Linked DNA regions of Arabidopsis thaliana. The protein of the gene in region 1 interacts with the protein of each later gene in a pairwise test. Each region holds a gene or a part of one and is shown on either strand. Other genes may lie near its edges. The genes, in order: PTAC6 and HSL1.

The links.
Region 2: the proteins of PTAC6 (region 1) and HSL1 interact in binary tests that used the Arabidopsis thaliana proteins (3 or more experiments, as listed by UniProt).

Annotation. Positions count from the first base shown.
Region 1 is NC_003070.9:7,567,670-7,577,551, forward strand, and holds PTAC6 (plastid transcriptionally active 6), read right to left. Parts: upstream 6,178-9,882; 5' UTR 6,114-6,177; coding exon 5,628-6,113; intron 5,528-5,627; coding exon 5,459-5,527; intron 4,912-5,458; coding exon 4,807-4,911; intron 4,573-4,806; coding exon 4,453-4,572; intron 4,163-4,452; coding exon 4,073-4,162; intron 3,962-4,072; coding exon 3,845-3,961; 3' UTR 3,727-3,844; exon of another isoform or gene 3,353-3,726; 3' UTR 3,176-3,352; downstream 1-3,175. Other genes in the region: AT1G21590 (kinase with adenine nucleotide alpha hydrolases-like domain-containing protein), read right to left, coding at 1-95, 175-423, 528-1,262, 1,363-1,612, 1,691-1,788, 1,875-2,025; AT1G21610 (wound-responsive family protein), read left to right, coding at 6,435-6,674, 7,287-7,373, 7,524-7,616, 7,690-7,766, 8,162-8,288, 8,370-8,711, 8,916-8,997, 9,083-9,195 and 2 more. UniProt on the Arabidopsis thaliana protein: Essential protein involved in plastid gene expression and in chloroplast biogenesis.
Region 2 is NC_003075.7:15,474,841-15,487,237, forward strand, and holds HSL1 (HSI2-like 1), read left to right. Parts: upstream 1-4,538; 5' UTR 4,539-4,972; intron 4,973-5,333; 5' UTR 5,334-5,394; intron 5,395-5,654; exon of another isoform or gene 5,655-5,801; 5' UTR 5,802-5,948; intron 5,949-6,141; 5' UTR 6,142-6,207; intron 6,208-6,284; 5' UTR 6,285-6,390; coding exon 6,391-6,509; intron 6,510-6,692; coding exon 6,693-6,774; intron 6,775-6,862; coding exon 6,863-6,964; intron 6,965-7,060; coding exon 7,061-7,587; intron 7,588-7,676; coding exon 7,677-7,773; intron 7,774-7,866; coding exon 7,867-8,041; intron 8,042-8,229; coding exon 8,230-8,306; intron 8,307-8,442; coding exon 8,443-8,760; intron 8,761-8,847; coding exon 8,848-8,897; intron 8,898-9,021; coding exon 9,022-9,135; intron 9,136-9,299; coding exon 9,300-9,367; intron 9,368-9,443; coding exon 9,444-10,057; 3' UTR 10,058-10,514; downstream 10,515-12,397. Other genes in the region: AT4G32000 (Protein kinase superfamily protein), read right to left, coding at 61-163, 291-387, 483-546, 703-835, 918-1,417, 1,674-1,815. UniProt on the Arabidopsis thaliana protein: Transcriptional repressor of gene expression involved in embryonic pathways, such as LEC1, ABI3, and FUS3. Repressor of the sugar-inducible genes involved in the seed maturation program in seedlings.

The DNA.
Region 1 (9,882 bases):
AGCATCGTTATGCAGATAGTCCAACGCTTCAGCTATTCCCACGGCCACCTTATATCTCTCGTTCCAACGAAATGCAACCAGGTCTTTTTTGTTGCCTAATCTCAATCTCAAACCTTGATTGTTAGAACCAGAACACAAGAAAATCTGCAAGTGGCTAAATGGTCAGAGGCTTACCGTGAAGATTCTCTTCAAGGCTTCCTCTTGAGAGATAATTATATACTAGTAACAGGTTATTGTTTTCAAAGCAATAACCTAAAAGGGAAATAACGTTCTTATGGTGTAAGGTTGTGATAATGTCAATCTCTGCCACAAAATCCTTCAAGACACATTCGGTTCGTTTGAGAATTTTCACTGCAACCTCTCTTCCATTTGGCAGATAACCTCTAAAAACCCGGCTGCTGCCTCCTTTTCCGATGAAATTATCTGAAAGTACATTGCTTTTCTTATTTAGACAAAAGGAAATGACAAGAGTCTTAAGAAAGTTCAAAACAAAGCGGTAGCTTAATTATGAGAAGAGAGGAACAAACCAGCACAGAAATTGGATGTCACCGACACAAGTTCCTTATACGTAAAAAACTGGCAAGATGTGGAGATCCTTGCCTGAAGACCCTCTACATTCTCTGGAAATCTACCTGAGCTATGATCAAGAGAACATTTCACGATCATAGATTCATCAGGAACAATTGCTTGCCTTTCAACGTTTGAGCTAGACAACTTATCATTTTCTTCAGATTCAGAAGAATCAAAACCAATCTGCTTTGTGTCTGAGCTTCCAACAACAGAATTGGTCCTAGCGGGCAGCTTCAGCACCCACTGCACAACTGGTATCTTTCGGAACGAAGAACTTCTCGGAGCAGAAGCTAATACATCTGAAGAAGCTACACGACAAAGCAAAGGCCAACCTGGTCTAAATTCAGGCAGTTCTTTTACCAGCATTGTAATGAATGGGGTCAAATCTTCTGGAAATTTTGCAGGAACAAGTGCCATTGCCTTGTGCAAATCAGCATTATCATCTTGATCACCATTACAGCTAGACGATCGAGATAAATTTCCAGGCGTAGGCAAGGAATTCATATCACGAACCGAGCAATTCCCAAGGCATGCATACACTAAAGACCGCCGAAGACTCTGACCATTGGAATGATCTTCCTCTGCCTCTTCCTCTTCCACCTCAGAATGGTTTACTACTTTGGTATTCTTTCTCAATGTGACAGGCATCTGAAAGAAACTAGACAAAGTGTTCCTACGAGCATCACTTTTACCTATTACAAACCAATGCCCAAGAAAGAAGAAGAGTTCAAAACCCTAATACAGACACAGAAATCATCACATACAAAAGAAACTTATAGAGAAAGGCCAAACCTTTAGAGTGATGAATGATCGATGAGGAACCATCTTTCTGAAACATGACTTTTCCATTGTCAACAGCCAGAACCCAGCAATCTTTTGCTACTTTCCTAGCTAAGTACTTAGCCACGGAGACAGATGAATGAATTGTATGGAAACGTCTGGAGATCCCAACTACAACTTTGGACGCAGAACACATTTTTGCTTCTTTAACTAGAATCTTTCGAGTAGAAGAACCCCGGGATAATTTTAGCTTCAATTCCAACTATTAAAAGCAATTCAACCATCATCAGCTAGAGCAGAGAGAATAGAGCATGAAAGTTTTCCACTTTAATAAGCATACCTGTTTCAATTTGCAGAAACCTTCATAAACTTCAAGAACAGAATCAAAGTTTTTAACAATGGAGACGAGAGAAGAGTTGTCTGCTCGGTCAACGATCTCTACACAAATCCAATAAGAGAGAGTAAACATGGAAACCCATTTCCAAAAATCGTAGCTTTAATACAGAGAAACAAAAAAGTGTTACCATTGCCGAGTACATGAAGAGCGATTACAGTATCACCCGGTTCAGCAACCTTAACCAAAGCCCAATCAAGTAGCTCATTGCTCGACTCATCGAACTTTACGCCCACCATAACAGTATGGCCTCCTCCTGTAACGACGCCGTTTTCCGTCATCTCTCTCTCTATCACTCTCTTATCTTATCACTTCCCAGTTTCCTCAAACTGTTTTGTCTGAATTTCAGGTGAATACGTTGTAGTGTGATGATTCCACGAGGCACAAAATCATCGCAACGCTCACAAAAGTGAATCTCTATTCTCTCTCACTCTCTGGTTTTGCAGCTTCTGAGAAAGAGAGAAGAGTAAGAATGGAGGAGCAGACATATGAGAATTTTCATTTCGTTGCCATTTAGATAAATAAAATACATAATTTAATATTTAGTCTTCACAGTACACTCTCTCATTAATTATCAACCTAACAAATAACAAATTATAAAAAATATATATAGATATATCTTTTCTTTTTTTTGCTCATTTTAATTAATTTAAAAATATTTCAGATACATTCATGAAATTAACTTTATTTATTCCCTATTGTAGATTATTTTATACAAAAAAAAAATATATGCAACACAAACATTTTCTTTTATCTGAATTTATGTTACATAATTAACTTAAGAGATTGGTACCATACCAAACAGTAGAAGAAGAAATCTACGTATTAAATACGGGGAATATGGTCCACCGTTATCGATTAATAGAATGTTGTGCCATGTATAAAAGTACCATAAATGAGGTTCCGGCAATGAGATAACAAATTATCATAATTATGTGATTTTATTCCTTTGTTTTTATATGAATCATTCCTTGTCCATTGTGTATGTATTTTAATAGGTAGATTGACAAATCAAAGATGCTTATTAGAAATGTAGCCCACCAAAACCATACTTACTTACAAATTCAACGGTTGATGCACATACCTTATCGTTATTTTTATTCCATTTGACTATTCTTTCTCACGTCAATCTTCTTTATTTTATCGTGCAATTCATTTTATCGTGCACATGTTTTTGTTTCTTCGACTCAATTGAATTGTTTTAAGATTTGATCATTTCCTTCTCTACCTTGTTGGTTTGGCATATGTCAAATCGATCGTTCTGACCATTCTATCGCAATTTTCATTCCATAATATTGAACACAATCGTGTTTTACAACTATTCTTAATTTCTTATATACCTAACGAATTCCATATCACCGAACTGTTGGTGCATTTATTTTGTTTTACGTGTCATTCTAAGTGATTCATGTAATTTTTCAAGTGTGGCAATAAATAAAGATATTTGTATTAAAAAACTGAATAGGGAAGTTAATGTTCGGTGGTCACAGAATGGGCCAATGGAACCAACCACACAACATGACTGCTCTGTCGGCGACTTTGACATTTGTAATCCCACTCACGTGAAAATCCAATCGACCGAACATGATACCGTACACGTGTCTTTTCCTGATGTCATCATTAATTACATCAAAAAGTTTAGAATAACAGACTACCTGTCGTTTTTAGTAGCTTCGTATAACTAAAACGACACGCCGGCTACAAGTTCTAACTAGTCCACTCAACAACAGTCAACACCATCCCAATTTCTCAAATACAAACACTTTGTTCCAATCTTGAATATGAAAATATCTCATCACAAGAATAATACAAGCCATCATAATCATCAATTGAAAACTTGAATTAAACACCTCAAAACTTGCAAATAAGCTAGCTTCTCTAGTCATTGAATGTTAGTCCATCAAACTATTGCATCTACACACTTTTTTCTAGAGGCCCATATTCATCTAATAACACATCCATCTCTGCTGCTAGTGCAGTACCTGAGGTCACCAAAATTGTATACCCTCCACCATATCATCGATTTAGATCATCTGCTCTCGTTTTCCATCTCAGGAAGAAAGTTATGCTGACTTGTCGTTTGGTGTCTCTCGAGTTCTTCTAGAACCAATTTGAGACACTGAAGTCTCGTAGCTTCCTGAGATGTTTCTCCATGTCTTCTCTAGTCTTGGTCCACTCTTCTCTTTCTATTACCGTTGTTGGGTCATCTCTTTCACCCTGAAAGAATGGAAATATATAGACATAGAGTGAAGATGAGTAAAGCTAGATGAAGGAATACAAATGACTGCCAGATGAAATGGATTTGGTCATTTGGAAATGGAAAGGTACCACGTGTATGATCTTAAAGGAGGTTCCATTATCTCGTATCACAAGCAAGTCATCCTTCCTATCCCTTTTTCTTCCTCCCGGAACTGTCACCTGAAACAATCTAAAACCTTAACATCGGAAAGAAGATTGTCTTCATAGCTTTGAGCTATGCACAGTATTTAAAGAACTCATAACTCAAGATATCTGATTCAGAACTAGAGGCATAAATAGCACTAATATAAACCAGCATTTCATTAGTGTTATAGCATGAAAAATATTCTATAAGAATATGTCAAAAAACCCAATTGGCTATGGTCTACGGTTGAGGTTTGTGCTCAGACTCGGAATGAGAACTTTGTTAATAATGCTTAAATAACTTGGAAGATAAGAATTAGTCATACCAGAACTCTGGCTCTGGTGATTGACTTTGTCTTGGAATCAATAACATATATCTCTTCAAGATCTAGCACAAATTCTGGATCGTTTGTCCTTCTGTTCCGGTAATGTTTTGTCAAGAAAACCTGCATAAAAAATAAACACGATGAAGACAATTTGTATCAGAAACTGTAACTACTAAACTAAGTAGTTTCGTGTTGATCTCATCCTTAATGCTTAAAAAACATATTTCCTGGTGTGGTTTCCAAAAATGTTGTCAAATCAAAACTAAGTACATCCTTGTTAATACATGTTGCTCAAGACTCCCTGCATCAAAGACCTAATGGATTTAACATCAATGTACATGGTCCAATATGTACCTTGGATATCTCCCTCTCAGATTTGTACAGTGGATCTCTGGGGGCATCAATAGGTGGTTCAGTGACATTGTAACATCCATAGTCACTCATTGCACATCGAATATACTGTACTTGTAACATCATTAAACAAGCCCTTGTTAGCACCACTCACTCATTGTAACAACTTGCTTATAAATAAACCTTACAATGTAAAACATACGCAATCATGAAGCAGCAAAGAGTACAAAACTGGCCACAGAATGAAAGGAAAGTGACTAAACAAACACCCAGCTGCTACATTCTGACTCTCTAATCATACTAAATGCTGACCATTTACGGCACTTTTTGAGATTATATGTTCAAAATTCCAGTCTATCAGTGTGAGTAGAAGTTCCAAACAATACCAAACGTGTACAGCTCTGTGTAGATAAGATTTCTTAAGTTATACAATTACTAGGTAGAGTGAAGGTATATGGGTTATACAATTACTAGGTAGAGCTCTGTGCAGATAAGATTTCTTAAGTGATACAATTACTAGGTAGAGTGGAGGTATATGGGTTCAATTAGCAATTAAGCACAATATGAAAAGCAATTATCTTGCTGAACAAAAGGAAGTCTCAGAACAACGCATAGGCATTACAAAAACAGCAACCGATAAGGATAAATGACTGACCTTTTGAGGCATCGGTGCAAGAACTCTCGGAATTGAGTAAATATCTGTATCCGGAGGAGTAACATACATCTGCAGCCACCCACACAAAACAATTTACAATTGAAGAATGAGCACAGACTCTAGAGAAATCGAAGAAATGAGCAATTAGAGTCACTGGGAATTCACACACCTCTCTGAAATCATAAACATCATTATCTGGATCAGGAGGTTTTCTGATAAAGAAATCACAGTCCATTAAGCTGAGTTTATGAAACTCATCTTCGTTTATCCGATAATCAACCACCATATCCGAATCCCATCCTTGTGTCGATATAAAACTCTTACTCTGAACAAAAGCGATATCTCCATCACCACCACCGCCTGCAGCGGCTATCGCGGCGGCCAAGGGGTCATACTCGACATCATAGTCCTTCTTGTTGTCAACTTCCTCTACCTCCTCATCATCCATATCATACTCGTCCGCTCCACCTCCATCAGCATCGACGTCATCTACTTTAACGACTATACCACGGCCGCGTCGGGATTTCAGTGTTAAAGGCGCGAAAAGACCGTCCGTTCTGAATGACGCAAATAGCCGCTGAGAGCCGGAGGGATAAGGTGGCTTCGAGGTGAATGAGAGTAGAGATAAGGAAGGAGAAGCGGCGGAAGACGCCATTGGAAGCGGATAAAGCTCACAGAGTGTTCTATCTATCTGTGGATTAGATATTTCGAGGAAAAATACAATTAAAAAAAAAAGAAAAACTATATAATATAATAATAATCCTTTTTAGTGAATAAAACAACAAAAATAAATTAGGAAATAATTAAGAGCGTCATTTTTGGTATCCCGCGCAACTTTTTCTTCTCAGTTTCAGTTTCTCTACATCGATTCATCGATTCCACTCTCTTGATTGCTGTTTAGATCAATCCGTCTCGAACCCAGGGGTTAGTATATAGTGGATCAAACTGATCCGACCCGACCCGACCCGAATTATTAATGTCGGAAGTTAATGAGATGAGTGGTGGTTCTATTGGCGGCGAATTGTTGAGAGCGTCGCCGAAGGTTTTAACGGCCGGTGATCGGAAATTACTCAAGGTGGAGCTTCGGCCAGGGGATACGACGTATGTTTCGTGGAAGAAGCTTATGAGGGATGCTGGTAAGGTCAATGGTTTATCGGCTTCGGTTCCCGACCCGCCTCCTAATGCTAACCCTAACCTTGAGTTTCGAATTGCACCGGTGAGTTTGATGTTGTAGGAATTGGTAATCGGATATATATACTTGTAGGCATTTGTGGGTTTCGTTTGCTGTTATTGGAGTAAGCATTTGTCTTGTTTCGGGGAGTTGTAATCTTTGTTAGGGTTTATAAAGGAGCTTTACTAAATTCGCAGATTTTCAGATTTATTTGTTGGGGAAAATGCTTGAAATCGATATGGTATAGGAGGAATTCTGTTGTTATTGCTCTCTGACGTCTGTGACTAGAGTTCAATAAGCAAACTCCTTAAACGGAGAAAGTCTACAACCTGATATATGATCTTTGGCTTCATTTCTAATTGCTAGCTACATTAGGCTAACTTCATCGTTATCAATGTGAATATGCCATCAATTATACTTGATCTGGAAAGGAATTTGGTTCACATAGTTGCAATGGAAACTATAGCTGTAATAGTGAAGAATATAGAGAAAGTTTTATTAATATCTATTAGTGCAAGAGAATGAAGCATATAATAGTGGATCTTCATTTAAGATGGTATAATATGCTTGCAGCTTCCTCACAATATATTCTTCTTATGCATACAATATGGGTGGTTAAAATCATTTTCAACAGCTGTATTTTCGTATATAATGTAGGGGCATCCAGTAGAGATTGAAACGAATGAACAACCTCATTCTAACCGTTTCAACGCTGTTATTGAGAAGATAGAGAGGCTCTATAAGGTATGCTACTCTTTGTTAAAACACTTTTCTTGGTAGGTTGTTATATGTTTGATTTTTCACATTCACAACATTTTTGCATACCATGCAATAGCACTGTTGCATTCACACATCTCTGAAAAGTGTATGCTTACTTCAGAGAATAAATCTCAGGGGAACGATAGCAGTGATGGGGAAGAGTTAGACGGTGCTCCTGATGATGATGAGTATGACACTGAAGATTCATTTATAGATGATGCTGAACTGGTTGGTGTTGATATCTTTCAAATATTTTTGATAGCTGAGAAATCATATCTCTGTTTTACTCTACTCCTTGCAGGATGAGTATTTCGAAGTTGATAATTCAACAGTTAAACATGATGGATTTTATGTAAATAGAGGCAAGTTGGAGCGGATGTGAGTTATCTTCCTCTTTTCATTATCTGATGTCTCTTAACTCTTTGGTGGCTTTGTCACTTTTCAATCACTCAGATCATGTTTAGAATAGGCATGTCGTAAGTTTTTGAAATAAACATATGAAATCACCTTGCTTTTCAGTTTTTCTTCCTATTTGGATATGTGTAGTCTCTCCAAATGGTAAAATATGGTTGGCAGTCTTGCTACTACTGCCTTAACTAATGTCTGTAGGGTGTTTGGTATGGGTAAAGTCCATTTTTCAACTTTTCTGGTTAAAAAACGTTCATATAGATGTAGGTTTTGCACTTTCGATAGGATAGAGTTTTTCTCATTTTGCCTAATCATGCTATATTTCATTTACAAGTTATCTAATCCCTGATTCATTTTCACAATAGGGAACCTTCAACAACATCTAACCAGCAACCCAAAAAACGGCGACGAAAAGATTCAGCAAAACCCTGTCGTGATGCAGTTGACGTATCCGATAAACACACCAAGTTGTCTATAACAGCTAGGAAAAAGGTAACATCTTTTATTGCAAATCATACTAATTTATGTCGGAGTTTGAGTCTGATAACTGATTATACGAATGGGGAAGTCCAGGATCAATCAACTGCTCCTGGGTCCTGGAAAACACAGGAGTCACCTTTGCCTTCTGGAGCGCAAGATGCAAATACTTCAGTACCTCTGGATGATGTGAAGCATTCTGATAGAGCAAATCATCAGTCTAGGAATGATACAAGTCACAAGTCAAGGGAAACTGGATCCTCTAGTGCCCTTCATCAGAAATACAGCAACAAAAGCTTACACCAACAATCTACGTCCCTGCTAGGAAAATCTCCCCCCAATGTCTTTGCAGAGGTAACAGTAGTCCGTCAGAAAGAAAACAATGGTATGCATCAGCTGGCAAATGTAACGGGAAGCAGACAATCTAGTCAAGCGTCTGTAAGTACATTCCAACTGTGTCTACAATTACATAAAATACACTCAGTAAGTTGGTTGCATTCTAAGGTCGTAGTTTTGTTTCTCCAGTTTTCATCTCGGTTCTGTGATATTTTTCTGGTCAATCTTTGCTTCCATGCATTTTTCTTACCACAAAGTTTACATCAGTCTTGCTTTATAATTCTGCAATAACCTGTCTCTACTCAGAAAAAAGATGGTTCTAATGTGAAGTCTAAAACCTCAATCCTCGAGAAAGCCATAAGGGAACTGGAGAAGGTGGTTGTGGAATGTGAGTTTTAATATTTTTCAAGTGTGACCAACTAGAATAGCATTTGGTGATTTTCAACTTACAAGAATTTATGATTTATAAGCAGCAAGGCCTCCTGCTATCACTGAAAATCAAGAAGCTGATACCTCATCCCAGGCAGTGAAGAGAAGATTGCCCAGGGATGTTAAATTGAAACTTGCTAAAGTTGCTAGGATTGCGGTACTAGAGCTTTTCCATTTGTTCTTCTCATTTTTTTGAAACTTGAAACGGTATGAGAAAAAACTAATATGCCTTTTGTGGCAGCAGGCAAGCCAGGGAAAACATTCAACAGAGTTAATCAACCGTCTTATGAGCATTGTTGGTCACCTAATCCAGCTTAGGTCTCTTAAGGTAAAATTTTCTGTCTCCTGTATCCTAGTCTTTCTGTTACTAAAGCAGACTTGTTAGGACTTTCGTCAAGGTGTTTAAATAGTTAGTCTTCTTCAGGACATTCATGTTCCAGTGAAAAACTCTTCTGTTTCAGGTACAAGCAAACAAAATATGGTTTCTTACTCTTTGTAATGCTTATTTTGCAGAGGAACTTGAAAATCATGATTGATATGGGAGATTCTGCAACCCGAGAAAAGGATACTAGGTTCAAGCAAATCAACAATGAAGTTCTTGATATGATAAAGGCCAAAGTTTCTTTGATGGAATCACAGGTTCTCTCTCTCTCTCTCTGTTCTAATCTTAAGTTGCTTGATAGGCATTTCTTTCATCCATGGCTTTTCTATCTTATTACATTCTTGGAAGTGTCATTAACTTTTATGAAATCTGGAGTTCTCTCTGATAATGGTTTTCCGTAGATCAAGCTCTTCATTCTTTTGTTTTCGATGTTCCCTGTGGGTCAATCTGCCTTTGTAGCGT
Region 2 (12,397 bases), on another chromosome or scaffold:
TCTAGTGATATGACAACGAGTCAAAGTCGATCAATATAGAGGGAAATGTTAATATTTTACCATCTAGGAGATATTCTGGAGCAACATAACCAAGTGTTCCTGATAGTTTAATGTTGTTTTTGCCGTGAGCCCCCACCATTACCGCAAGACCAAAATCCGAAATCTGAATGTTGATCTATCGTTAGAGATGGAACTAAAGACAAATGAATGAAATGATTCTTGAATCAACGAAACAAATCTTGTTCGGTTAGCTCAGAACAGAATCATCATTAATGATTCAAGTTGTTTACCTTGGCGTTGAAGGAAGAATCAAGGAGAATATTTGACGATTTAAGATCTCTGTGGATAACCGGAGGACGACAACGCTCGTGGAGATACTCAACAGCTCTATTTCCAAACCAACATAAGAAAACGGTTTACCTAAACCGAAATTAATCAACCGGTAGAGAGGATTGTTAAATGTGGGCACTTGAGTGTAGTACCTTGCTGTATCAAGAGCAATCTTCATCCGCATGTGCCATGTTAAAGCCGATCCCCGAGAAGGTCCTTAACCATTAATGATGCAAACATTAAATTTTATCAAAACAAAAATTATTTATTTCATGTGGGCACATGATTTGTTTTATCTCTGTTATACTATAGTATTAATTTAACTCATGATCTATTACACGATGATGAGAAGATGTTTTGAGCTATTTTTACCGTGTAACTGTGTATCCAATGATCCGCTTTCCATCAGCTCGTAGACGATAAAACTCGAACTGAGTTCATTTCCATATCCAAACAATGAGATGATGTTCGGGTGGTGAATCTTGCTCAACAAATCAACTTCATTCTGAGATTTAGATGATAAAATCAGATATCAAGAATCCGGTAAAAAAGTAAAAATGATTAGTACTTGTGTTTTGTTTTGGTACCTGAAATTCTCGTTTTGCTTCTTGACTAACGTTTTCGATCTTTTTGACTGCTGCTAGAGTGTTGTTGCCTAAACAGGCCTTGTAAACATCTCCGAACCCGCCTCGTCCTATAAGATTACCGTCTTTGAAACCGCCTGTTGCTTTCTCTAGTGTCTTGTAATCGAAGGACTGCACAAAGCCCTTCTTGGATAATGAAATCCTACTCTCACCTTCTTCCGCATGAAACCATTTAGATATCAAAACAGAGAGATCACAATGAAGAAACTGATACAGAATCTTGTTACAAATGTAAAGTTTTGCAGATTTGTTCTCATTCTTAATGTTAAGATGATTATTACCTGAGTTCTTGGTGTTTTTGGGAGATTTCTTAGACCAATAAACCCAAAAGCATAAACAAGATACAAGTATTAGTCCTAGAGAAGATGAGGTGATTATGAGAGCGATTAGAAGTTTCTTGTGTGCATCTAACTTGTGTTCTTGGCCTTTGCCCATGTGGATCCCTGAAATCAGAAATCAAACGCTTGAGCTAATCTTCTCACTGTATCTAATTTCTGAATTATCCCAAAGGGATCTAGATGAGAAGGAATTTTCAGAATAACTGATAAAGAGATACGTAGAAGATAGCAATTCACTCATTCAGCAGCTCAAAAATAGCAATTACGTATATAATTAAAAGTCAGATTTTCATTGGTTTACTAAAACACAGATCAATCCACAAAAAAAAACATAAGCATGGATAGAGGAAGAGAGAGATACCTGGAGAAAAGGAAGCCATGGAAGTGTAAACAGGAGAAAGAGAAGGCTGTGAAGCAGGTGAAGTAAAAGCAGAAACACTAATGATGAATTCAAGAACAGAGACCTTAAGAAGAAGAAGAAGAAGATGAAGAATCTTTCCCATTTCTCCAGACTCTTTGGGATTTTTAATGGTGAAAGAGAGATTTTCTAAGAGCAGTGTGAGAATGTGAGATTGCTCTTCCAAGATTAATCTCTCTCTCGCTCTCTCTTTCTCTAATGGAGATCTCTTTCATAAAATTTTGTTTCCTTTTTTCTTGTCTGCATAAAGGAGGGAAGCAGAAAGTGGGTTTTAAAAAAGTCGAAATCATTCTCTCTAACTTCTTTATCATCAAATCAACATGTGAGAGGGTTTGAATGTGATAGTGAACACAAATTATTAAATTCTTCCTAACCAAAAACAGTTTAAAGTGATCAATGTATGAATTTCTTATATTTTAAATTAGAACAATTTATTCAAAACACGAATTTGTAACTTGGGCCACTACTAAAACTTCTGAAGAATAAAATTTAGAGTGGTCAAGTTAAAATATGCCTTTGTAACTTGAAGAGTTTACTTTACTGACAGCAAAAGTTGACCAGTTGTGTCAAACCGACAGAAATAAGAAGACTTTCCGTTTTGTTTTTTCTCTTTGGTCAATTATGTTATCAATAAAATATCTTCTTAGTAGTATATTTTTATTCTAGCATATAATCCTCTTAAGGATTCACGAGAATGGATCTAACTAATTCTATGCAGCATTTGCAACTAGAGTCTATATAAATAAACAACAAAAACTTCTACACTTTTAGAAACTCAACGGGCACTAACATAAAGTATTAGCAAACTAAACGCAACGACGGTTGTGAATGAAAGACTTTCGCAAATGTATAATGAGTGTGATTAAAGTGAAATTATATGCTCTCTTTTATCAAATGAAAGAACCAATCAATACTTCGGTAATGTATGTAAAATTGGTGTCGATACATATACAGTATATCTACACATTATATAGGAGTCAGTGATTCGTGATATATTAACTAGAGTTGCATCATCAGATAGTTATTTTTATATTGTCAACTACTATTTTATGCTTGTAAAAATACACAGAGATGGTTCTTGGTTACAACAAGGAATATTTCATATGTGAAATCTGAAAGGCAACAATATTAGACTAATATAGCAAATAACATGATATCAACGTATGGGAGTGTAAATGTCTGAATGTTCCATTTGAGAAATGTCCTCATCATGTGACACAAGTTTATTAGGCTACTCAAGTTAGCTTAGAATTAAGAAGCTAGAACATGTGAAAATAAATAGAAAACAAAAAAGAGGAAACAAAAACTAATAACAGAACGAGAAGTTGAAACCTTTTGGATCCAATTAAATGAATATCGATGTAATTCCAAAATGTTAGTTCATGTGTTAATGTTTGAAGATCTAGTACATATGAATAACATTTGAAATCATTTTTGTTTCATGCAATTACATAACTACAAGGGTTTTCATCACATATTGCTAATTAATTTTGAGTTTAGAATCCAAAACATTTAACCGAAAATCTAATAATTTTAAAAAGGGTGATTTACTCATCTATAAGACTAACTAAAAAAATACGTACTAAATTATTTACAAGAGACAATTGATAACTAGAGTATGAATTAGTTGTTTAGACTTACCCATGTGTCAAAGTCATATTGACAAATGGCTCGGTTATAACTGATTTATATACCAATAATTGCATACAAGTTTGTTTCTTAAATAAATCAAGCAATATTCATAAGATTGCATGTGTATTTTCTGCGAAACTATTAGTACGAATTCGTGGATATGCAAATTTAATGACTATGCAAAGTAGGTGAGAATGTAATAGCGATTAGAATAGCTAGGGTTTAGCCTACCAACCATGGTAATCCAGTTTCCTAATTATCGTTAGTTTTTGAATCCCATTCATGCTTTTATCTATTTTTCAACCAATCATGTCTTTTTACCAACAAAGCATTTCCAGTCTAAGCAATATGGTAGGTAACTCGGTACGATAAACAGAAAGATAATTTATTATTCATCTATAAACGAATAATTGGTTCTCACATTACTCATACAGAGGAAAAAAAGGGATATACAAACCCTCTCTAAATTATATAGTTTTGAATTCACTGTTGTTTATCAACAACATATATAACTCTCTTACCCAATTCTTATTATTGTTCATACTTCATAGACATTAACATGTACGTATAGTGATTGCTACAATGAATGGTATGTACAGATATTGAGACAGACAGTAGAAAGGGATGAATCGAGTATTTATTAAAGAGAAAGGAAAGGGCCAATCTATGCCTAGTTTCAATTATGAAACTCAACCCATGAACTGATTTAAATACTTTACCTATCGGATAAGACTTTTAAGGGTCTAAAATATTTTCCAACTATTTTTCATTTGCAACAAACCTTAAAGTAATATGCTAAAGAGATCTTTTCCAAAGGTGGAATGATTTTTTTGATCTAAAACGGCCCATCAACCAATCTTCGGTCCATTATCCTGACATGATTATTTGGGCTACATTTTTTTAAGTCTTTTGCAGTAAATTGTTGAACCAACAAAAATAAAGAGTTGGAGTTGGACCTAGTAGCTGATCTGCTGATGTGTTGGTGATGGTCGTCGTGGGTTCCTGTCTTATAACCCTAGAAACCAAGCCACTTCATCATTCTCAAATTCAATGCTTTACTAAATAATATTATTATCGAAATCAAAATACTAATTTAGACGTATATAAATCTAGAAGCAAACCTTAGGTGAGGTCGAAACAGAGATGACCTTTTGCGTGCACTTTAATTAATATCTTATTACATAAAATGTCACACTTTGAGTAAACTTTACATTATTCTCTCATCCATAATAAATAAATAAAGCATACTGGGTTTTAGGTCAGGCTGACGTCAGCAGTTTCTTTGTGTTTCATTTTTTTTTTTTTTGTAATCTAACGCTCCAGATTTGTTGTCTTCTCCACGAGCCCTTTGTTGTTGTTGGTAATGGAGATTTTCGCTCTAAGTCATTGTGGCTTCTTCTTCTTTATTTAGAAACCAATTCATCAACTCCTTCGTTATTTCTAAATCTCTTTGCCACTACCTCTTGTTGCTGCAATTGAATTGGCTCAAATCTTCTTCACTTGGTCGACGTAAAGACGACTTTGACTTGGTTTTTAACTTCACTTCTCCGTCGAAAACTATCCCTTCTCTTCCGATCGAATCAATCGGCTCTCTCTCCACACAAACCAAGGTAAGGGTTAACCCTCTCCGGTGATTATGCTCTGATAAATTTACTTGCTCGGCCATTAGTGTTCAGAAACTTGGTGATTTATGCATGTTTTTTTTTGTTCAAAGACCGTAGATTTCGGAATTAGGATTGTAAAAATTGAACCTTTACATCAGTGTTTTTACAAAGTTATAAGCTTTACTTGGAAATCAGTGGTTTTTTGGGTCAACCAAAGTTGAAAGATTTGAAGAAGAATGAAACTAGTTCGATTTATATATCATTTTATTGCTTCTTAAGAAAGTGTCGTCCTTGGTTCTTTATGAATTTCCAATTGCAGCCAAATATGTCATGTTATTCACCTAATTTTTGTATTTTCCAATTGCAGCCAAATATCTTCTCCTGTTACTGGAGACAAACCTGCATACATTTCTGTCATCTCTGTTAAGGTATTACATTTAGTTTACTTGTTTACTTAATGTAGCTGCTTATTACATTTTTTTCTTCAAGTCTATATTCTTCTTTCAATAGCATTAAAAGTTATGTGTATCCTCAGATTAGATCTTGCTGACTCGCAAGTTTTTGGATTATTTAGCGGTTTAATAAGAATTATATCTTCCTTGAAATTGTGCCTAGGTAGTGGAATCGTTGTTAGCCTACTGTAGCTCAGATAGGTGATGGATCATTTCCGTTCAATTGAATAATTTGACTATTTAAGGTTTGCACTTAGTTTTGTCTACAGAATCAATTCATCCTTTTTCACAGTCAAGATATTATTCTCATTATCACTATTGTAGACTTCTTGGACTTCCATACATTCATCAGTCAACTTTTCGATGGTGCGTTTTTATCACAGTGGCACAATTATTTAAGAGGCTCCATCTCCACTGCACCACTGAGAAGTTTCGTGTGGACATGTCTAAGCTTAGAATTGGTTTGGTTGAAAACTGAGGAGATGGAAGTGACTCGTGGTTTCTCTTTTTTGGACAAGTTTCTTCGAAAGGTCTGTTGATTTTCTTTGTCTCTTGTGAACTTTAATTTCGTTTTTTTTTCCTTAGGATGCAATGATATCTTATCTTTAGATGTCAATATCAAATGTCCTTAACTATTCATTCATTTACGGATTTTGATTACTTTATAACAGTTGGTATCTTCTTCTATATATCGTCATCTTATATGTTTTTATTTGTATATAGTCTTTCACAGAAGGAGCGTATTGAGTTTCTCGACAATATATTTGACATCTTCTTCTGCCTTTTCTGGTAAGTGTTTAACTTTTCTGATACCAATTAGTTTTCTTAATCATTGCATATTTTTAATGCTTGTGCCTTTATTAAAGAGGAAAGTTGCGGTGGATTAAAGCACCATCGTGCGGAGAATACGATAAGGCTCTTGCTTCATTTGAAGTTATTGACAGTTGAATCGAGCCGCTCAATTGGTCAATTATGGAGTCAATAAAGGTTTGCATGAACGCACTGTGCGGAGCGGCCTCTACGTCGGGCGAGTGGAAAAAAGGCTGGCCTATGCGATCCGGTGATTTAGCTTCTCTCTGCGATAAGTGTGGGTAAGGGCCTTCACTCTTGTGTCTAATTTGAATACTTTTGCGACCAGTTCGATATTCGCAACACTTCTGCGATAGATTAGTGCTGTGGGTTTGCTTACAATTAGAACAAGAGTGGGTACGTGAAGGGAATCTATATTTCATGATTACTTATTAGTAAACTCTGTGAATGTTGGTTTTTGATAGGTGTGCATACGAGCAATCCATATTCTGTGAAGTGTTCCATGCCAAGGAATCTGGTTGGAGAGAGTGTAATTCATGTGACAAGGTGACGAAAATCCATGGCTTACTACACATGTTTTTGCACTCAACGTATTTCAATTGTTTTCCTTAATACGTATTTACGTTTTTTTCAGCGTCTTCACTGTGGATGCATTGCTTCTAGATTTATGATGGAGCTTCTAGAGAATGGTGGTGTTACCTGTATAAGTTGCGCCAAGAAATCCGGACTAATTTCTGTAAGACAATTTCCTCTCCATGAGTTAACTTCTTGCAAGGGATGCTTCCTTGGTCTTGGTTTCTCTGTCACTATACTCATGTAATCTCTCTTACAGATGAATGTGAGCCATGAATCTAACGGTAAGGACTTCCCCTCATTTGCTTCAGCAGAGCATGTAGGCAGTGTTCTTGAGAGGACAAATCTCAAGCACTTGCTTCACTTTCAAAGAATCGACCCCACTCATTCTTCTCTTCAAATGAAACAAGAAGAATCGCTGCTTCCTTCCAGCCTAGATGCTCTTAGACACAAAACTGAAAGGAAAGAATTGTCTGCACAGCCAAACTTGAGCATTTCACTTGGACCTACGCTTATGACAAGCCCATTTCATGATGCTGCTGTTGATGACAGAAGTAAGACTAATTCGATTTTCCAACTGGCCCCTCGGTCCAGGCAGCTGCTTCCAAAACCTGCAAATTCAGCTCCCATTGCTGCTGGCATGGAGCCTAGTGGGAGCCTGGTGTCACAGATTCATGTCGCTCGGCCTCCTCCAGAAGGTCGCGGGAAGACCCAATTGCTTCCCCGTTACTGGCCTAGGATTACTGACCAAGAGCTGCTGCAATTATCTGGACAGTATCCTCATCTGTATGTTATAATATCGTGTTTCTGCTTTTATTCTACCATTATGCACTATTTTTCTGTGCTAAGGAGTCCTTGACTGTTTATTTTCCTAGCTCAAATTCCAAAATTATACCACTCTTTGAAAAAGTTCTGAGTGCGAGCGATGCGGGTCGTATTGGTCGACTGGTTCTTCCGAAAGCATGTGCAGAGGTAACTTGTTTCTCTGTACGCTTATTTGATATTCCCAAACTATTGCTATCTAAATGCCAGGTATCAGCTATAACCGTCTATGCTTCTATGTAGGCATATTTCCCCCCTATATCTCTACCCGAGGGTCTCCCGTTAAAGATACAAGACATAAAAGGGAAAGAATGGGTGTTCCAGTTCAGGTTTTGGCCTAATAATAACAGCAGGATGTACGTTTTGGAGGGTGTGACTCCTTGCATACAGTCCATGCAGTTGCAAGCTGGTGACACTGGTACTTTTCAAATCCTTTTGTTTCGTTAACTACATTCATAACATATTGATAAACCCACCCTGGTATGGATAAATGAAACATTGGCACTAAAGCGTTCCAATCATGAGGACAGTGAAATACATTCCACGAAGAGATGACCGTACTTTTCTATTAGGTCTGATGTCTTGGATTTTCCATGTTCTCTGCAGTAACATTCAGCCGTACAGAACCTGAAGGAAAACTCGTAATGGGATACCGTAAAGCGACGAACTCTACAGCGACACAGGTAAATGCATAATAAGCTGAGAGTTGCCCCCTTAGGCATAAGTAACTGCCACTGTGAAGTGTATTGAATTAAAGAATCCTTTTCTGGTGCTCTCGTACTGATTCTTTCAGTGAAATATTTTTCCGTGTTTCTTCAGATGTTCAAGGGAAGCAGTGAACCCAATCTGAACATGTTTTCCAACAGCTTGAATCCGGGATGTGGTGACATCAATTGGTCTAAACTAGAGAAGTCTGAGGACATGGCAAAGGATAACTTATTTCTTCAGTCGTCCTTAACTTCTGCTAGGAAACGGGTTCGGAACATTGGGACTAAGAGCAAGCGTCTGCTCATTGATAGCGTAGATGTTCTGGAACTGAAAATAACTTGGGAGGAGGCACAGGAGCTGTTGCGGCCTCCCCAATCCACCAAACCCAGCATCTTTACGCTGGAAAATCAAGATTTTGAAGAATATGACGTGAGTTACTGTTAACTGTTTAGTTATCAAAAACAGCTGGGAACTTTTCACTGTATTTTCTGAAATCATGTATTTGCTGCTACCCAGGAACCACCAGTTTTCGGGAAGAGGACCCTTTTTGTCTCACGTCAAACAGGGTGAGGCCTCATGTACTATGTAATGATAGGATCAGAAGAATTAAGCACCCTTGGAATGATCGAAAGATTTGAAGTAATGAACATCTGATTATTTGGTTCTGATATGTGATCCATGAATTCTCAGGGAACAAGAGCAATGGGTGCAGTGTGATGCTTGTGGGAAATGGCGACAGCTGCCGGTGGATATTCTTCTTCCACCAAAGTGGTCGTGCTCTGATAATCTCTTGGATCCTGGCAGGTAAACGAGGTTGCATGTTCATGTGTTTAACCTAGGCTAGTTACCACAGAACATTGCGCATTTTTTTCCGAAATAACTTAGACTACACATATGGGATAATTATAGATTTTTGACTCACTGAGACTGGCCATCTGAATAATTTGAGTTGCTGTTTATATCGTCAGGTCTTCATGTTCCGCACCTGATGAACTCTCTCCAAGAGAACAGGATACACTTGTCCGGCAGAGCAAAGGTAAAATCCGCAGCTATTATTGGTCTGTATAATTAGAAACTTCCTTCTTTACATAACGAAACTTTCGTCTCAACAGAGTTCAAAAGGAGGAGACTGGCATCATCAAACGAAAAGCTAAACCAGTCGCAGGATGCATCTGCTCTGAATAGTTTAGGAAATGCAGGCATCACCACAACCGGTGAACAGGGGGAAATCACGGTTGCAGCCACGACCAAGCATCCAAGACACCGGGCAGGGTGTTCGTGCATCGTCTGCAGCCAACCACCGAGCGGAAAAGGCAAACACAAGCCGTCATGCACTTGCACTGTGTGCGAGGCAGTGAAGAGACGATTCAGGACGCTCATGCTGCGGAAGCGGAACAAAGGAGAGGCAGGACAGGCAAGCCAGCAGGCGCAGTCACAGTCAGAGTGCAGGGACGAGACAGAAGTGGAGAGCATTCCAGCGGTTGAACTAGCCGCAGGGGAAAACATCGACTTGAACTCAGACCCGGGGGCTTCCCGAGTAAGCATGATGAGGCTTCTCCAAGCTGCAGCGTTTCCTCTGGAAGCATATCTGAAACAAAAGGCTATTTCCAATACAGCAGGAGAACAGCAAAGCAGTGATATGGTCAGCACAGAACACGGTTCGTCCTCAGCCGCACAAGAAACTGAGAAAGACACAACAAATGGAGCTCATGATCCTGTGAACTAAACAGCTTTGGAATTCTCCATGAGTATTTATTCTTCAGTGGTATGTGTTTCTTATTTACACAAAAAATGTCTTCGGTTTCGTCTCAAATTGGTTGAGTGGTTACGACCATTCTACCAATTGTCGATCGAAGAAATGAGGAATTTGTAGTTTGCTTTTCTTTTTGTTTCTGGTGTTTTGGTTTGGTGTGTGGTGAGTTGAGGCTTGAGAGAGAGAGACAAATAGATTTGATGAGGTTTTTGAAAATACATAGGACACTAACTTAATAGTTATATCTAATATGGAAATGGATGAAGCTTCTAAGAAGAGAATCGGTTCTGGAGGTGGAGCTTCAAATTTGTACGCCTATCTATCGCAATCTTAAGTTTCAAAATTCGAACCTGTACATAATTTTTATTATTTTCAAGTTTGTTTATGAAATTTATGATTTACTTAAATTAGAGAAATTGGTTACGCGAGATCCTATTATTTTGATTTGGTGATAAACTTATGGTATGAAGACACACAATCAGTTACATGGAAGCAAATAAATCGGCTATAGCTCGGTCGATGTTAGAAGTGTTGATCGTGTCAGTGTAATAATAAGAGTTATCACTTATCACTCAACTAAACTCCTAAAAATAGAGCCATATGATAAGCTATCACTCATCCAAATCCTAAAAATATAAAAAACCGTTTGGTATATCCAATTTGTCTCGAGTTCTAAACATTAGCGATAATACAGTATTAGTTTCAGAATTTGAGTCAGAAATTGATATAAATTTAGATGAAGAAGCATGTTTGTTGCTTGTTTTTGCTTCTTTCTATGTCTCTGTTATGATAACATACAGTATCAAAGAAGTTAAGACCTGAGGTCAACTCGTTTGTTCGTGTCTGAATTCTGATTATTTTGTGGGTTTCTTTCTTCTCAAATCTCACCAATCCCCCATGTTATAAAATATCAGGAATAGCCCCAAAAGAAATAAATAATTAAATAAGAGCAACAATACTTTTCCAAATTGTTTTTTTTGGCCGGCCAAAGTTGATTGAGTCGGCTCGATTGACTGACTCCAAAATAATCAATCTCATACAGCATCACGCCATTCCTATCGTCAAATTACACGTGTCTTTTTCTGATTGATAAGTTTGTCCTCAAACACGTGGACTCTGCCTTATTTCTTCTCAATAAAGAAAATTTATTACCTAATGCCCCTACCTCTTCCCAAAACCAATAACTAGGCGTTTTTTTTTGTCCCATTTTTCTTTGTTGGTTTCATTTATGAATACACTACATATTATTGAAAAATAACACAAATGCCCTCCTTAAATTCATAATTTTACAATATTTATATTAGTATTACGTTTTTTGCACTAATCACTAGATATATGAATATAATTTTAATTAGTTTATGCCCAAAATACACAGAAAGGGCATCAAAAGCATCAATTTATTTTTAATTGACCAAATAGCTTTAGTGATTCTTATTATTAGTAATTTAATACTAGTTGGCGAGAAAAAAAAATACAAAGAAGATGAACAAGTGAAACAAACTTGAGAAATATCCGTGGTCAAAGAAGATAGACGAGTGGGGGTGGCAATAGAGTAAATAGAAAGGAACACGAAGGGTTTGTTTGTAAGGAATATGTTAATAATGGAAGGGCGAAGAAAAAGATGAGACAGAGAGTGGGACCCATAAACGCGTAGCTGAGGTTTTGGTAAGGATCGTCGTGGGTTCCTCCTCTCTCACCCTATAAACCACTTCTTTCTCACGCGCCTCTTTCACATTTATTATTACACCTAAATTTAAATAAATTATTATTATTATTGTGGTCGACCACTTCTTTCAAAAGTTGTTGTCATTTACCTATTCCCAACACATATATTCTACTCCACCTTAAGAATATCTATTTCCTTTTGTCATTAGAAACACTTATACGAACCTGTTACATATTTGCAAGGTCGTATCAATATGTTTATCGACATAATCGTTAGGATCTTTGGGTTTCTCAATGTTTAATAGTCTTTTACCTCTCGTTAATTAGATATAAAGATTGGATTTATATACATAAATACAAATTTAAAATTAGCGTTTCAATATCATATTATTATGGATGTACAATGTATGGGAATAATGTAAAGCTTACTCAAAGCCAAAGGGCGAGATATATTATGCCTAATGGGGTATTATTTTAATGTTTAACGTATGTGATCATGAAAGCGACAAATGCGTAATGGAGGATTTTGTTGCTTGGATACTGTTCGGCAAAGTAGCTTTTTTTAATTCAATTATTTCGTATTATTATTGACAACTTGGCTTAATTATTTAGTGTTAATCATTTTGTTTGTCAACAATTACAAACATC